Linked DNA regions of Stegostoma tigrinum. The protein of the gene in region 1 purifies or fractionates together with the protein of each later gene. This does not show direct contact. Links are inferred from orthologs where the notes say so. Each region holds a gene or a part of one and is shown on either strand. Other genes may lie near its edges.

What was found.
Region 2: the proteins of vps41 (region 1) and vps33a purify together in Homo sapiens (affinity purification with mass spectrometry; 5 studies listed by BioGRID and IntAct, counting the BioPlex papers as one, with this or other methods). This does not show direct contact. The link is inferred for Stegostoma tigrinum from reciprocal best matches to the Homo sapiens genes VPS41 and VPS33A.

What each region holds. Positions count from the first base shown.
Region 1 is NC_081358.1:10,708,756-10,718,044, forward strand, and holds the start of vps41 (vacuolar protein sorting-associated protein 41 homolog), read left to right. Parts: upstream 1-4,897; 5' UTR 4,898-4,952; coding exon 4,953-4,970; intron 4,971-9,289. UniProt on the Homo sapiens protein: Plays a role in vesicle-mediated protein trafficking to lysosomal compartments including the endocytic membrane transport and autophagic pathways. Acts as a component of the HOPS endosomal tethering complex.
Region 2 is NC_081379.1:25,835,224-25,844,620, forward strand, and holds the start of vps33a (vacuolar protein sorting-associated protein 33A), read right to left. Parts: upstream 3,799-9,397; coding exon 3,682-3,798; intron 763-3,681; coding exon 697-762; intron 1-696.

The DNA.
Region 1 (9,289 bases):
CAGGCATCCAGAACATTACCTGGGTCTCTGGATTGACAGTCTCATAATAATAGCATTTAGCCATTGTCTCCCCGACGGTAAGTAAGCTCGTTTATGGATGAATCTTCTCCAACTTGGTCTTAAGTTAGAGATTCCTGTGTTGTTGGGGACATTGCATTTTTCAGTTGAATTTGAGGATGCCTTCAAAGCTTTTCATCTGCTCACTTAGTAATTGTTTGCTGTGATGAGGTTTTGAGTTAGGAGATTGCTTTGGAAGTCTTCTGTCAGACATGCAGGCAACATGGCCTGTCCAATACAGCTGGTTGATCAAAACTAATGCCCCATCCTGAGGATGTTCACTGGAAGAGATCACGGATATTGGAGCACATATTTTGCCAGTGAATGTACAAGATACTTTGTGGCAGTTATGCACACTTACACACAAATGCACACCCTCATACTCACATGTTCACACTCACAATCATACACAAATCACACAGTCACACACCCAAACCCGCACCTTCACACTTCAACACAACTGGCACATATCATGTTCTCATGCACATCACACTCATACACCCCAACACACATACACAGCACATATATAAGCACTTTCATAGACACCTTTGCACTGTCATACCAAAATACAGTCTGAGAAACCCAAAATGCTTCCACTTTGATATACAGCCAAGCACACCTTTACATTTCTACACATCCTCACATGCATGAACACCCATGCACTAACAGATTTACTAACAGACTAAGGAATATTTGACACACTCAGATGCACATTCAAAAACCACATCTATACACACACATGCTTCTTGCATTCCCAAACTTGCTATCAGCAATGGCTGAAGGTACAACATGTAGCGAAGGCTCCAGGTATTGACAGTAATACCAAAGACTTGTACTCTATAATTAGCCACATAACTAATCAGTTTAATCTAGTGCAGTTGCAACAATGGCATCATCCTGACAATAAGGAAAATTACCCAGAATTATAATGTCCTCAAAAATCAGAACAAACCTAACCCAGTCAATTACAACCCTATCAGTCTGTTCTTGATCATCAGCAAAGGGATAGAAAGTGTCATCAATGGTAGCAGCAAACAGCACTTGCAAAGCAAGAACCAACACTGTCAATATCCTTTTAGCCTCCACTAATTCCTCTCAGATCCTGACATCATTAGTCTCGGTTGAAACACAGATGAAGAGCTGAATTGAACAAGTGACATGAATGTGACTGCCCTTGGCATCCAGACAGTATTTGTGTGAGTGGGGCATCAACAATTCCGGCAAAGTTTAAATGAATAGGAATCAGGAAGAGAACCACACACAGACTGGAGTCATAACCAGCACAAATAAAAATGGTTGTTATAGCCTTTGAGCAGAACATTGCAGGTGTTGCTCAGAGTGGTAACTTACTTATTTTTTATTCATTTATCTGACATGGGCTGCCCTGGCTGGGCCAACATTTATTGCCCATCCTGGGTTCCTTCAAGAAGATAGTGGTGAGCTGCCTTCATGGGCTGCTACAGTCCATTTGGTGGAGGTCCAAAGTGCTGGAAGGAGAGAGTTCCAGGATTTTGACCCAATGACACGAAAGTATCGGCAGTATCTTTCCTAGTCTGAAGTAGCCTGCAGGGGAACTTGGAAGATGGTGGTGTATCCATTTTTCTGCTCCCTTGTTCTTCTCAATGGTAGGCTTGACAGATGCTTAACCCATCATTTTCAGCTTCATTTTCAATGGCTTTCCTTCCATCATAAAGTCAGAGGGAAGGTTGTATATTGAAGATTGCAAAATGTTCAGCATCATTAGCAACTCTTCAGGTACTGTAGATGTCCATGCCTGAATGTAAAACAACTGAATGCAAGAAGTGATAAGCATTGTCCACTTTACACAAGTGCCAGGCAATGACTAATTCCAACAGCAGAGAATCTAACTATCTCTCCATGACTCTCAATGGCATTAGTGTAGCCGAATCCCCTCCGAACAGTATTCCAGTTGTTATCATAGATGAGAAAATAAACTGAACGAACCATATAAATACAGGAATTACAACAGCAAATCAGAGATTAGGAATCCTGCAGAAAGTAACTCATTTTCTCTCTCCCCAATGTCTATCAATCATCTACAAGGTACAAGTCAGCCATATGATAGGATACTTTCCATGGGGGCTGTTGTTGTGCAGTAGTAGTGTCCCTAACTTTAAGACAGAAGACTGGGGTTTAAGGGATACCTGTTTCAGAGGTGTATCATAACATGACTGAAGCGGTTGTTTTAAAAACATCTCTTGTGATGCAGTGGTAGTATGTGTACTTCTGAGCCAGGAGGCCAAGTTGAAGTCTCAAATGCCTTAGAGGTGTGTAGTAACATCTCTGAAAAGGCTGATTACATAATATCTAGAACACTCTCCACTCAACTGAATAAGTGCTGCTCAAGAAGCTAAAAACATTTTTTTGGGTCTTTTCTTTAATAAAGGTCTGAAAATCAATTTGAGCAGTGAACTAAAGATTTTTTTTCCAAGAAAGCATGTGACTGAAATTAATTGACTCAATCAGCTACCCGGGAAATCAATTGCTGAATGTTTACAAAGTTGAACTTGTATGACATACTGAAAAACAGATGACCAGAGTCCATTTATTAGTCGAGTTCAGAAGAAAAATTTCCCAAATGGAGTACTGGTTGTTTTATAGAAATCTCTAGACTATGAGAGGTTAGTTTGAATCAGTCTCCAAGCTGTGAGAGTTGGTAGAAATCTCTAAGTTGTTAGAATCAGAAGGAAACATCTGAGCCATCGCAGCTAGAAAGAAGTCTTTAATTGCTTTAGCAGTCCAAGGAGCAGAACTGGAAAGAATGATTCAAGTTAAAGAGTTAACATAGTAATTATAATTCAAGGGTTTACATGGCTGTAAAAGATATCGCTGGGAAACAGTTGAATTTTTGTATTTTTGCTGTTTATGATAGATTTTCTAAATTATCACATGTTCATACTTTTTTTCCTTTTGTATGATAAACATTTTTACCTTTTTTAGATGGACATTTCAGCCTTGCTCGTATCAATAAGTGATCGCCACAGTAGCCAAACTACAGAAGTAAAACTGACATTCTAACAAGCCAGGTTTCACTCTGAGATCTGGTTTGTCCATCTTTACCTTCAGCAGGGATCATAATACATATTATGACTTGATACAGCTAACCAAATGTTTGGTCATATAATTGGATTTTAAAGAATGTCTTAAAGGAGCTAGAAGTGTTGAAGTGGCAGTCAGGTAACCAACCGAATCAGGTTTTCAATGAACAATAACAAAGTTGCTGGAAAAGCTCAGCAGGTCTGGTAGCATCTGCAAATGAAAAAAACAGAGTAAATGGTTTGGGTCCGGTGGCCGTTCCTCAGAATTGGATTTTCCAGGACCATCTTATATTGGAGGTCTAAGCTCTAAACAATCTCTAGCCAGGATGCTGTTGTCCTCTAACCTTGTGATTTAACTCTTGTGTAGCCTCCGTAAGTCTTCCACTTACATATGCACTGTGATGGTCCACTCTGACAAGTTCAGAAAAAACCTAGAAGGTAGGATCAAAAGTAGGCCATTCAACCCATCGAATCTGCTCAATCCCATCAATTTCTCCATCAACATTTCTCTACTGATAAAGATATGCTTCAGTGCATCTGTCTCATTAAATCTCGTACTCCTGATCATTTACGATACATTATTTGTGTTCTCTTTAGTGAAAACAGAAACGAAGTATGAACTTTGCTGGTCAGCCATTTCTCTGTTCCCCATTATAAATTCCCCCATTTCTGACAGAAAAGGACTCTCATCAACTGCCAACTTTTACAGGTTCTGCAGCACATATAAACTCAGACCATCAGATGCCAAATGTTTTTAGTCTAGTGTGTAAAAGTTAGTTACCCTAATGGAGAGGTTGACAGTTGGAATTCCAGAGTTTAAGACTTGGATACTTAAAGGCACAACTGGTGGTGGCACTAAAAATGGAGATGCACAGATGATTACAGTTGGATGAATATTAAGCACTCAGAGACTTGTAGGGATGGATGAGAATTTTAAAATCAAAGCACTGCTGGACGAGGAATCAATATAAACTCTGAGACTGAAGGGATGGCTCATTGGTAATTGGGCAAGCGAGAATTTTGAATCCATTCAGATCAAGACACAATGGACAAAGAAACAAATATGAACTAACGGAGTCAGCAGAGACTTGATGACAGCAAGTATAGCGAACATTGTCAAGACTCTGAGAACCTAACTAAAGTGATAGATAAGGGAGTCTATAACTATTCGTGCAGATTTCCAGAAGACCGTTGATAAGGTTTCACATGTGAGACTGTTAACACAAATAAGAGTGAATGGAATTGAAAGTGCCCACAGTAATCAATTGTTTTGCATTTGGTGAAGAATCTGTCTTCTATTAATGTTCATTGTGCTTGATTAGTCAAGCCTGGATGCAGATCCAGAAGATGAACAAAGCTGCCGTAAGTTGTCAAAAGCTTGAGCTGTAAGCATGGAACAAACATGAAGCTCTGTAAATCAAACCTCTTGCACACATTGAAAATCGTGTGTTATCTTTACATAACTCTGAGGCACATAAAATTGACAACATACCTATTCAGAGGATAGGGAATAAGGCAGAAGATAGAAAAGAGATTAGGAAATAATAGGTACGCACTCAAATTGCAGGATGATGTCTTTGGGCTGTCCTGTCGAATATTCAGTGAGTGAAGTGGATATTGGGGATGTTCTCTGGTGACTGAACTTCAACATTACAGAGCGCAAGGGAAGAGAAACGTCCCGAATTCGGAACCAAGTCTCTTTAAACCCCTCCGTCCTCTCTGACAGGCTTTGCCAAACTGGACTACAACTCCCAGCGGCCTCGGCGGCAGCCGCCGCGCAGGCGCTGTCTGCCGGTCTCCCTCAGTCCTGACAGGACCCTGGGAGCTCGGAGCAACATGGCGGAAGTGGAGCGGGTAAATACAGGAGGGTAGGGGATCTCCGTGTTAATGGCCACTCTGTGTATTTTCATGGGGCAGCTTCTCAGAGGAGTGACAGTGAGCATGAGCCGAGCTGTACTCCCTATCGTCCTCAGGATATTGTCAGATTGTGGGAGTTGTCTATGTCTCTGTCTAAAATCCCACAACATTACTGAAGGACTGGTTTCGTTGAGCTTTCCGCTTCAGTCTGTTCTTATTGTCATTTCTAAATATGCAATGTGCAGGGATTGCCTTCGCTTCAACAAATACATATTCGAAAGCAAGTGTAAGAGTGCACATTGTTGCTACACTGTTCTTTCAAGGATTGTTTAGTGAATGTGCTCAGGGCTGAGCTGAAGTTTCATAGCTGTCTAATATTAGTGTCCCTGCTATATCTCGTGGCTTAAGAGACTGCTGGACCTGCATATGGTCACAGAAATTTGAGGGTGCATACGTGAGGATCAATGGTCGGCACAACATTGTGGGACGAAGGGCATGTTCTGTGCTGTACTGTTCTATGTTCTATGATGCCCCTCTGCTGTTAATCTCTTATTCATTTCCGATTTTAGTTGCTGCATTATTGGCAGCCTTGCCTTCAGCCACCAAGGCCCAATACTTTGCAGCCTCTTCCTTAAACTTTTCCACCTCTTTACGTCTGTTTTCTTCTCAATCTGCCTTTGGTCAGCTGTTTTCCGCTGAATCTTCTGATGGCTGAATTGCATTTAATTTGATCATGCTGCTTTGAAGCGCATGGTTTTTTTGTGCAACAAGGGGGACATGTAAATGTAAAAGTGGGACATCTGCCACCGACAATCGTTTAATGAAGCAGGGGGTGGGGATGGCTGGTTCCTTCTGTTTGAATTTTGTACAGACTATGAAGTGTTCTACTATTAAATGGGAATGTTTATTCAAATGATTTTTTTTTGAAGTCACATTGCCGCCTGACTGAGAAACAGTTTTCCAGTAGATTGCTGGTACTCAAGAATGTCCAGAATGTCCTCTTTTCCTAACCTAGCAGATTTGTTTGGATTAGGGAGTGAATTCAGAGGTACACAACATGCTGTCGAATTTCAATGAATGTTTAAAAGCCTGGTGACCCATGTAGGTAATCAATGAACTAGAAGGAGCAAACATGCAATAATCCTTTCTGATTCATACAATTCTGGTCGCCCTCCTACAGGAAGGATGTTGTTAAACTATGAAAGGTGCAGGAAAGATTTACAAGGATGTTGCTGATACTGCAGTGTTTGGGTTATAAGGAGAGGCTGAGACTATTTTCCCCTGGAGTGTTGGAGGATGAGGGGTGACCTTTTGAGATATATAAAATTATGAGGCCATAGATAAGAGGAATAGCTGGAGTTTTTTCCAAGGGTAGGGGAGTCCAAAACTAGAGGGCATAAATATAAGGCGAGGGGGAAATATTTAAAAGGGACCTGAGGGTGATCTGTATTTGGAACGAGATGCTAGTGTTAGAGGTGGGTATAATTACAACATTTAAAAGACAGAGACATGAATAGGAAAGATTTAAAGGGATATGGACCAAACAGTGGCAAATGGGGCTAGTTGAGTTTCGGGAACCTGGTCAGCATGGATAAGTTGGACTGAAGGATCAGTTTCCATGCTGTATGACTCTATGTACCAGGACAGCAAGCTAAGAGGCCAGAGGATTCAGGACTTCTGAAGAACATATTTACAGTAGATATTGAGGTATTTAGTTTGAGGATAATCAAGCTTCTATAAGCAACTGAGGCCAAGACACTGATCTCTTTTTGATGAGGAAACTGTTTAGGCTGTTGTGAAGATGGAGTTAATATCCTATAGGGATAACAAGCTGTGGAGCTGGTTGAACACAGCAGGCCAAGCAGCATCTTAGGAGCACAAAAGCTGACGGTTCGGGCCTAGACCCTTCAGACTCGGATTCTCCAGCATCTGCAGTTCCCATTATGTCTAATATCCTACAAGGATAGGTTTGAATTGGATCATGTGAGGGCTGTTTTTTTATTAATGTTTATCATGCATTAAACAATCTTTTGGGAGTAGGAATCTTGTCAATATGAAACTTTTACAGTGTCATGTAAAGGTTTTGTTTCTAGCCAAAATTAAAACTCAATGTGTCAACATAAAGATCAGCCATCCAAGCCCTTGCCTAAGGCTCAAACAGACCACCCACTTTAACCTCTTATGAGAAGTGATACTACATTCGAGGCATTAAATGCATGATTTGGAATTTGAAAAACAAAACCTGCTAGAAAGGCAGTTCGGTTTTTGTTTCTGATTTCCAGCATACACAGTTCTTTCAGTTTTTATTTGGCTCATTATAAAGTTTGCAAGAAAGTGGATGCTACATTTACTATATTTCAAGGTGCCATTCAACTATATTTCTTCTTTACTAGGCAAACCAAATTATAAGTGCTCCTCAATTTGGTACAGCCATTGTGTAATTATATAAAATGTGTTTAATTGCAGAAATAAGATGTTATAGTAACACATTATAGAGCTTTCTCTTTTAGCGCTGATATGGTTTATGTCAGTATCAGTTGACTACGTCCAGAATTTTCTGAATTCATTTATCTAATAGGACAGCAGTATCAATGAGCTGAGAATTTGAGTTAATATTTTTGGTCTTCTGACCTGTCATCAAATCTCAACTCAACTAATAAAATCTTTGGCTATGTAAGTAATCCCTGGTTGTATTTGCAATGTGAATGTCTGGCCTAATTTGCCAAATATGTCACCATTTTATAAATTGCTAAAGTCAGCAAGTTCCACAACACAACTTTGTTAATCACCTGGGAAATCTGTCTCGGGAAATCTGTCTCTCGAAATTTCTGTGACAGTTGCAGCCTTAGTTTTAGGCATGTGCTGTTTTAAAAATGTGTAAATAATTGTGATATTTTACAGGCAATTCCTCTTGGTTCGAAATATCTCTTATTTCAACATTAAATCTCCCAAACCACCTCCACCGTGTCATGTTTGTGTCAAATCATGGGTTCTGCAGATGTGATGTGAATTTTTTTATTTTTATCATTGGACTGTATCATGATTGTATATATTTCCTCTTTGAGGAGTTAAGTTACTTAATTTAACAGAAACTATACTTCCGAATCTCATAGTTTTCACCAAAATATCCAAGATGTTTTGCGTTTATTGTCTGACATGAAGTGTCCTGTAAATGAAGAATTTTTATGACCGCTCTTTCTATCAAACATAGAGTCCTTGAATGTTCCAGAACAGAATTAGACTATTGAGCTTTAAATTTGTCATTTTTTTTCTTTCATATGAGCCAGTTGGACTAATCCAACTCCTTTCTCACTCCCAGCTTATTTTAATATTTCCATCGTCAAACAAATACATAACGAATTATAAAAAGGGATTCTGTGCCAATTTTGGAATGTAGCAATGAATTCTGTATTAGCTTCATTTTGCTTCTCCAAGAGGTGACATGCTGCTCTGTGTGTGTATATAAAGGATCTGGGGTTGGGAGATGCTGCTGGTGTAAAGTGCTGGCTAGGGAGAATGGGTTTAATGGAATCTACACATTGACATTAGGGTTTTATAAGCTTCACTTTTTCTATCCTTTTTGGTGCTGTATGTTCAAATCGCCACATGTAGAGATGCAATTTTACTTAAATTCTATGTGCTAACCTTAAATTTATGTCCTGTTCAGTCCTTCTAGTTCACCCTAAAGTGCTGTCAGTACGATAATTTGCATCACATCCTAATCTCACAACATCCAATGATTTAGTTTCCTATCTACCCCTTGTCTGCTAAAGCTTTGATGTTAAAATCTCCTTATTCCTATCTCTATGTCCCCATCTTTAAATTCTTCCTGCCCTACAATTTCTGGAGTGTTGTTTCTCCAATTCTAGTCCCAACATCTCCAGATCCTTGGTGGCTCTTTCTTCAACTATTTGGACCCTTAGCTCTGAACTGCTCCATTCCCCCTGTCTGAAAGGACTGCTTCATTGGCTTGGCATAAGTTTCTGCACGGTCACACTCTGCTGAAGTGCCTTGGAATATTTCAGCATGTTAAAAAACACTAAATAACGGTCATCGCAGCTTATAATTAGAGGATTCAGCCCACAAAGTTAATGCTGGATTTCTGTAAAGCAGTCCAGTTAGTCCCACTGACCTACTCTATCCCTACAGGGAATTTACCTCCAGTGACCATCCAATTTCCTTTTGAAATCTTTGACTGTTTCAATTCCACCATCCTCGTTGTCAGAGTTTTGGGTGATACAACATAACATTGCATAACAATGGTTTTTACACTCACCTCTGATCTCTTGCTGTTACACTGAAATCAGTGCCCCTAG
Region 2 (9,397 bases), on another chromosome or scaffold:
ATGTCATCTATGCAAAACTTATATTATAGAGTGAAGACAGGTTAGCTTCCAATCTCAATCAACTACCTCGATAATGAATTTTCTTTGGAAAATAAGTCAAGAAAATGTAATTTTATTTCTTAGCATTAAACATATCAATGAGGGTGTTTTCTCGCTCACCGGTTCGATTTTGATCAGACATTTCGTCACCATGCTAGGTGACATCATCAGTGGAGTCTCTGGTGAAGTGGTGTTCTACTCTGCTGAATTTATACAGCACTCACCATCATGGTGAGTAGTGTCATTGTTGGTTTTGATCTGTATGGGTTTGTATATGGGGTCCAATTCTGTACTTTGGGTTACTTTGTCACAAGCCAAACATAGCCACGCACAGGAATTCCTAGAGACATGGTTCTGCACTCCTACTTCATTGGGCCCCACATAGATCAAAACCAGAAATGACAATACTCATCATAACGGACCAGACTGTATAAATTCCGAGTGGAGTACAATAACATCACCTCACTGGAGGGTCCACTGATGATGTCACTGAGCATGTTGAGAAATGTCTGAACAAAAAACAAGCTAGCCAGGTAAGCAAGTCAACAACCTCATCCATAACCCAAGCTACAGATCTTTGCCAAAACTTTAAAAGACATAGCAATATTGGTCATTCAAATTGCCCAAAATGTAGCAAACAAACGAGCAGTCATTTACCTTTAATAGGGAATATTGAGCAATCAATCCAAATGGTCCAGTAAGATACTCATCCCAAACTATTGCCTATGTGAGAAAAACAGACAGCTAACCAAATGCCAGAAAGTCACAAGGTCCAGTATTCTCAAATGGTCTTGTACCTTCACTTGGAGCATTGAGATAAACCACCTCCAACAATATTCAGCTATCAGTAACTTAGGAAGTAGAGAAAACAGACATTTAAAGTGTAAACTCATTCCTATTTTGAAAAATTTCAGGACATTAGGACGTGGGCATTGCTGGCAAGATTTACATTTATTGCTCATCCTTAGGCGATTTGGAATGTGATATGAAAAAAAAAGTGCTTTTCTAGACCATTTTGAAAGGACATTGAAAAGTTAACCACAATGGTGTAGTACTGGACTAAGATATAGGCCAGATCAGGTTAAGACAGCAGGATTCTTTCCCTGAAAGAACACTGTGAATTAGCCTTGGTTTAAAATTATGAAGTATCAAAAATGTTTTGACCATTACACCTCTGAAATCAGGATAAAAATGTTGAGTTCTTGTCCTTTGCACACTAGGGCATCTGGTACAATTGCAAAGTTTTATAGTCTAAGGATAGGAGGTCAAATAAGGCAACTGTACAATTTACACATGATTCTCACAAAAACTATTTCATCATTATTTCCAGTTTAAAGAATGAGAAGCACAAGGAAACAACTATATTTTAAGAATACCAAAAAATACCATATTGTACTATGTTCCAGCATCCTTCTTCATTAAGCTAATTTTTGGAATCTTGTAGCAGGAAATGTTCCAGATTTTCAGAACAGTGATAGACCACTCAACAACCAAAAAAGCAAAGAGACATCTTAAGGGGTCGTTGTGTCATTTCTTATTTCAGCTCCTTTGTTTTCTGAACTATTTGAAAGCATTCTAACGTGCAGTTGCAGAAAAATAATTACTGTCTGAACAAAGAGGTATTATGCCACATTTGTTAAAAGTAACATCAGATGAGACAAAAAAAGTGTGTTTACACTAGATTTTTATCTACCTGAAGAGATAAAGTTAACAGGTTGTTCTGATATTCAATACAGTAAAGATTAACTGTGACTCAAAATAAACAGAATTTTAAGAAAGTGGCATAAAGGAAAAGAGATAATGCAATACTAAATATTAAACCATATGACTTTGCTCACACTTTTGAACTAAAACATAAAGACTCTTTAGGCTTAGAAAGCTTATAGTGCTATATTCAATGAACCAGACACCACCCATCAGGTGAGCACTTTACGAAGATTTCACAAATATATCCATCATCTTTGTAGGTGTAAAGATGTCAGTTAAAATTGAACCATTGACAAAATTTATTGCTGCTCTGAAGTAATGTGAGCATGACTAAATTAATAACAAGTCATTGTGACATAAATGAACATATCGTGTTGCAACACAGTAACTAGAGAAAAACAAAAAAAAAATCAATTTACAGATACTGGAACTTTAGCACAGCAGAAATGTCATGGCAAAACAAAAATCATACAAAAACAGATGACTGCCAATAAATTCCATTCAATCTACAAACCTCACCATGAGCTTTCAGTCATTTGCCATTTTTAAACCTCCCACTTTGAACTTCCAATCCTGGACCACCAATACTGTCCTATAAAGTTCCAATGCTTCTCATCTTTCAGTTCACAGCTTTACAATTTTCTAAATTCAATACCCGAGTTCAATGATTTCATATCATAAGCACAACTCCATAATTTTTTTAGGAAGATGCTGTATTGGTTTTGCTGTTGACATATACAGCTCCATCATCTCATATTGTACTTATTTACTGTCCCGCTAACACTCACTTCTGTTTGTACCATTATTGCATGTCCTTTACCAGTCCTGCCTTCCAACCTAACATAGACTTCCCCATGCTACTGGTCTAAAGCCTACTATTTCTTTAGCATGCTCTACTTATTACACATACAGCCATGCAAGTTGGAGCAATAACTTTGCTTTTCTTCCTACATCAAGTGATATTTCCCATTTACACCTTAGGTTCCAACTTGGCTTCTTTTTAAATATGGGGATGGCAGCAGGAAGGAAGGGAAAAGGCACAAGTTTCAAACTAAGGGCTAAAAGAATCAACAGATCAACCTAGTGGTGTGGTACGAAAGAAATATACAAAAACATTAGGATTGAGTAAAATTTTGTGAAAGAATGCAAACACAGAATCTTGTTTTAAGGCATCTTAATTTCTTAATTCTACTTCTGAGAAAGTCAATTTTAGTCTTGTGACAAATGTATATCATGCATTTTTATTTACTTCACATTTGAGGAAGCTGACTCAACCAATAAATCAGCTTATGATATAAACTGTTTTGTGGATTTATTTAGGAGGGAAGAAAGATCAAGAATACAACTGTTTGACAACATTACAAATTCATTTCCTGAAGAACGGAAACCGTAACAAGAAAAACGGTGCTCTGTCAAAAAAAAAATCAATAACGCTTCATAAAAACAGAATCCTTAAAAACATTAGGAAAAATTAATTACTCCATGAATAGGTGTCCACCATGAACGTTGCACACCCATCTTCCTAAAGTTGAGCAATTGTTCAGTTCAGTATTCTCATAATAAAGCAGACTGTTAACAGATTTCTCAGGATTAATTGACACAGGATCGAGGGTTTCAATATTGCAACAGGTTCACTTGCCCCTAAAGATTACAGGGGCCGAGATGGATTGGGGTGGTCCTCTTCCCCCCAGGGTTTCGGGGGTTAATTTTGGAAAGGACCACCTTGCCCCAGAGCAGTTAATGCTTGGAAGGGCCCCCTACGCCGGGAGTTGAGATGGGCCAAGGGAGCTATCCTCCTCTCCGGGAAGGGTTCAATTTTGGACAGGGCCGACCTATCCTTTATCCCGAGGGGGAGGGGTCCGGAGAACTGAGTTTTCAGGAATCGGACTGCTCCCGCGAGTATCGAGCACTCTAAATCCTCCCCCCCCCCCAGACCTTGCTGCCTTCACATTTATCCAGAAATTCGCGCAGCTCCTTGCGGGCCGCCTCTCGCAAGTTGTTAAGAACCACTCTTCCGTAACTGAGGTGCGCTGCCATCTTGAGCCGGGTCATGTGACACGGCGGGCACCGCCCCACGTGACCTGAGCTGTCCATCACGGGCGTGTAACCGTGTTCTGTTGGAGTTGCTGCGCTTATGTACTGAGGTCTCGGTCAATCTAACTCAATTCACCAATAACTAACGAACGCTGTATATACCTGTTACTACACAGGGAACGCATGTAAAATACTAACTCAACAGTGTTGCTTTTTGCATAAACGCTATTTAAAATTGAGGACTAATTTTGGTTCCATTCCAGTTATCTGAGTCACAACATCACGACAAACGTCCCCATCCCAAAATCTCACACAATTCATTTGGGAAGAGAAGCTTAAAATTAAATTGAAGTGTCAGTGCAACCATCACTAAACAAATTCAAGTTTTATGTTTTGATAATACATGGGAATTTAAGGAACTCGAACAAACCAAACTCCCCCTGTCCAGTGAAGACCAGGCAGATGGCATTTAGAATCAAGGCAGTCACCTCTTTTGGATCTTGCTGCCTTCCTGCTGTTGCGTGATTTTATTCTGCATTTTTGACTAAGTTAGTGGCATTCACGGCACGACAACAGTGAAATAACAGCAAATCTAATAAGACAGCCCTAGGTCTTTGACAGTAACACAAGAAAAAAATTTGATGCTATTAGAACTCAATCTACAATTATACTTGGAGTGCTGAGTGACAGCTTTCAGTTTACTTTTTTCTGACAACTGTACTGTATGCTAAAAGACTAGGTTGGTAAATAATTAAATTGAATTATTGTAAGCCAGGACGGGCAGAAATATACTACCCAAAACTCACAAATAAACAAATAAATAAAAAAGAACTCTCTTGACTCAAAACCCAACTCCAGCTCCAAATGAGTCCCTGTTGTCAGTCACTGGCTCCCCTCTCCCACAAAGTTGTGAATCTTCCCAATACTCATTTTCTGTTGATGCAGCATAGAAATGTAAACTTATGTTTAAGGGAAAATTGGAGAAACTTTCTGTATAAGACAACAAAGTGTGGAGCTGGATGAACACAGCAGGCCAAGCAGCATCTTAGGAGCACAAAAGCTGACGTTTCGGTCCTAGACCCTTCAGCTCTCTGATGAAGGGTTTTGGCCCGAAACGTCAGCTTTTGTGCTCCTAAGATGCTGCTTGGCCTGCTGTGTTCATCCAGCTCCACATTTTGTTATCTTGGATTCTCCAGCATCTGCAGTTCCCATCATCTCAAAACTTTCTGTAGTTGAGATGGATGAGGTTAACATCTGAAACATATATGATGTGACATAGTGCATGTTAGTGTCACATGAGTGGGTACACAACCTGGGAGTAGATACTCTAACCTCATTTGAAGAGAAGTGAAAATCTCGCTGAAAGTAGTTATTGCAGCCCATGAACTTAACCAGCATACTTTGGGGAGACTAAAGCTGGAATGCACAAGAAGGTATAAGGTGTTCCCGATGTTACATAGAACATAGAACAATACAGTGCAGAACAGGCCCTTTGGCCCTCGATGTTGCGCTGACCTGTGAGCTAATCTAAGCCCATCCCCCTACGCTTATCCCATCATCATCCATATGCCTATCCAAGGACTGTTTAAATGCCCCTAATGTGGCTGAGTTAACTATATTGGCAAGCAGGGCGTTCCACGCCCTTACCACTCTCTGAGTAAAGAACCTGCCTCTGACATTTGTCTTATATGTATCACCCCTCAATTTGTAGCTATGCCCCCTCGTACAAGCTGATGTCATCAAACTCGGAAAAAGACTCTCACTGTCCACCCTATCTAATCCTCTGATCATCTTGTATGTCTCTATTAAATCGCCTCTTAGCCTTCTTCTCTCCAATGAGAACAGACCCAAGTCCCTCAGCCTTTCTTCATAAGGCCTTTGCTCCAGACCAGGCAACATCCTGGTAAATCTCCTCTGCACCTTTTCCAATGCTTCCACATCTTTCCTGTAATTGGGCAAACAGAACTGCATGCAATATTCCAGGTGAGGCTGCACTAACATTTTGTACAGTTGCAGCATGACATCATGGTTCCGGAACTCAATCCCTCTACCAATAAAACCTAACACACCGTAAGCCTTCTTAACAGCACTATCAACATGAAATAAAAATGTTATAAAAATGATTCTATGTAAACAACTGTGGAAATATTTTGAAATCATTAACCTACATCTCCTACAGTACAACTGAGATTGCGCTTCGCCATTACAGTTTTGTCTATAAAGCAAATTGAAATGTCTTAAGACCATAGAACATAGAACATTACAGCACAGTACAGGCCCTTTGGCCCTCGATGTTGCGCTGACCTGTCATACCGATCTCAAGCCCATCTAACCTACACTATTCCATGTACGTCCATATGCTTGTCCAATGACGACTTAAATGTACCTAAAGTTGGCGAATCTACTACTGTTGCAGGCAAAGTGTTCCATTCCCTTACTACTCTCTGAGTAAAGAAATTACCTCTGACATCTGTCCTATATCTTTCACCCCTCAATTTAAAGCTATGCCCCCTCGTGCTCGCCGTCACCATCCTAGGAAAAAGGCTCTCCCTATCCACCCTATCTAATCCCTGATTATTTTATATGTTTTAATTAAGTCACCTCTCAACCTTCTTCTCTCTAACGAAAACAGCCTCAAGTCACTCAGCCTTTCCTCGTAAGACCTGCCCTCCATACCAGGCAACATCCTAGTAAATCTCCTCTGCGCCCTTTCCAAAGCTTCCACATCCTTCTTATAATAGTGACCAGAACTGTACACAATACTCCACAAATGCGGCCGCACCAGAGTTTTGTACAGCTGCAGCATAACCTCTTGGTTCCGGAATTCAATCCCTCTATTAATAAAAGCTAAAACACTGTATGCCTTCTTAACAGCCCTGTCAACCTGGGTGGCAACTTTCAAGGATCTCTGCACATGGACACTGAGATCTCTGTGCTCATCTACACTACTCAGAATCTTACCATTAGCCCTGTACTTTGCCTTCCGGTTACTCCTACCAAAGTGCATCACCTCACATTTGTCTGCATTAAACTCCATTTGCCACCTCTCAGCCCAGCTCTGCAGCTTATCGATGTCTCTCTGCAACCTACAGCAGACCATGACAGGCAGAATACAAAATGCCCTGTTTGCTTTTACATTAAATGTCACAGTATGCACAGTAGCTGGAGAAACTAAGATATTTGTCCTCATCCCTGCAACATGTTAAGACTTTGTGATTAAGTGTGGAATCTATTGGTTTTGCAAACTGAGTGTTGATGAGAAGGCTATTGATGGGTTGGCATTATCTGATGACTCTGACCATTACTTCACTTCTGATGAGAAGTAAATGGATAAAGTAGCAGCCAGTCAGAGTTGTCCTTTGTTTGTACAGAGGACATGCCTAGGCAACATGACTAGATAAATTCCAGTAACATAGCCATAATGAAATTTGTCTGAAACTTTTGGTATACATCTTCAGCATTAGAACCAAAATGGTCTCAGACCCGGTGGCTTCATGGTATAATAGCACTCAAAATTTGTATTCAAATCTTGAATTAAGAAAACAAAAACTATCTCACTTAGTTGCACAGTGATTTCTTCTGCATGAGAGAGTACAATTGTATTGAGGTAGCCTAGCTCTCAAGTCAATGCACTTCAGAGAGAGACTGGCTTCTTCTACTACAAACCAAGTCCCACTAATCCTGGACTTATTACAAATATGAAAAGATTCAGTCAAACTATTCAAAGCTCCCAAATTACCTGACTGATGAACGCAAGTCAAAAGAAAGCGCTTGCTTGGTTTATGTACCTCACAAAAGAAACTTGTTTATTAATAAACAAATTGGCTTTAAACAAGGGAAATTAAAATTGTGAATTGCTAACTTATTACACTTTAATGTAAACTCTAGCTGTTTTAAATTTCCCATCCCCATCACAAACAGACAGACAACATGGGCTTTAAGGCTGGGAAACGATAAATAATGTCAGGGAAACACAATTCAATAGTGTCTAAATCACAAGGAATGAATTGTTTATTTCAGTTTCTTCTGATTCATTTTACTTCTTTGCTGATGAATCACTGTTGTTTGCATGCTGATACGATTTTTCATTTGCAGATCGAGAATTTGCCCTTTCACTTTTTGATAGATTTTTATTCATCCTTCAACAGAGGGTTTGCAGAGCAAGCTGAATGGAAGGCAGCAAGTGTTACTGGAGACTTTCTGGTACCTCCAGAACAAGAGAGACAGATTTCTTTTCACCTCTTTGCAGGGTGGAGGATTCTCTGCTGCCCTGTCCCTGCACGAGCCAAGGCCACCTCAATAACAGCCAATCAAAATATTGTCAAGCAATTGTCATCCTGGTTCTGACTCTGTGGTGCCTGCTTTCTCTTGAATCAGGGGAAAACAATATTGTATATAACTCACATTGTACTCCAGTAAACGAGTTTTAAAATCACAGCCATTGCTTTGCACAGTCTCTGTGGCTTAAAACAGTACTTTTAAAAAGTCCAAAAATAAAGTAATTAAAAATGTGGTACTTGCAAGCGGGGATAAGAACAAGTGGGTTACTCCCGCCTGTTGCTTGTGTTTGTGTGGGTGGTAGTGTCCAATAAAGTTCTACACAATAGGAAATTTATCGACACTTTAAAGAGGATAATAATATGAATTCACTCTAGGCAACTGTTTACACAATCTATTAGCAGGTTTGAAGGCCACTGCAGGGCTTTACCCTGTCTCATCTGGTATTTTGCTTGCGGAAGGGTAGGCTCATATATACCAGAAACCAAACAACTTTAGCCACGTAGCCGAGGGAAGACCACATCTGCATGTTCATAGGCTCCATCAAACACAATCCCCATTCACGTGCCTGAATTTTGCCTTGACTTTCTGACATCCACATCCACTCCGTCCCCCCAGGTTTGTTGACAGTCCCCTATAAAAGATCCTCAACTCTTCAACTTAACATCGGTTCCTCAACATTGGGGAGTGCCTATAGTCTTAATACTGGCCCACTGTTCCCATCCACCACAGTGGTTGGCAGCTCACTAACCGGGAAGGCCTCCCGAAACAGGGAGAGTTTTGGTTGAAAGAATGAATGCTCTTGCAAGATTTAACTGCTGCATGTCAATTGTATGGGCCATGGGCATTCTCCCCCTCACTGACTTCAGCCTGGAGTGCTGTGGGATAAATGTAGGCTGCTTAGGGTGATTGATTTGTCTAAAATTAGGGTTTATAAGTATAAGTGCAACAGACTTAGAAGAACAAAATAAATTTAGTTACAAAGCACTGAGATGAGAAAATTAATGTCTGGTGAAATGCCCGTACCTTCAAGGTTAGACTAATAGCTGGATACAAAAATAAAAAACAAATGCTGGAAACGACATTATGACCAGACTATTTACTTGACTGCACAGTAAATACTAAGAAACCAAATGGCCTGTTTCCACATTATTACTTCTTTCCTTGTGTCCTCAACACCTGAGGTAGGTTAAATCTGGAAGTTCCTCACCGAACTAGATCAGTAAATGATCCAAAGAGTCATTTTTACCGGTTGACAATGAAGCTCCCACATATGAGAGTTATCCTTCTCTCCAGAGTTTTCTTCATACGATGATGACTAACTTATTAGTTGAGATGA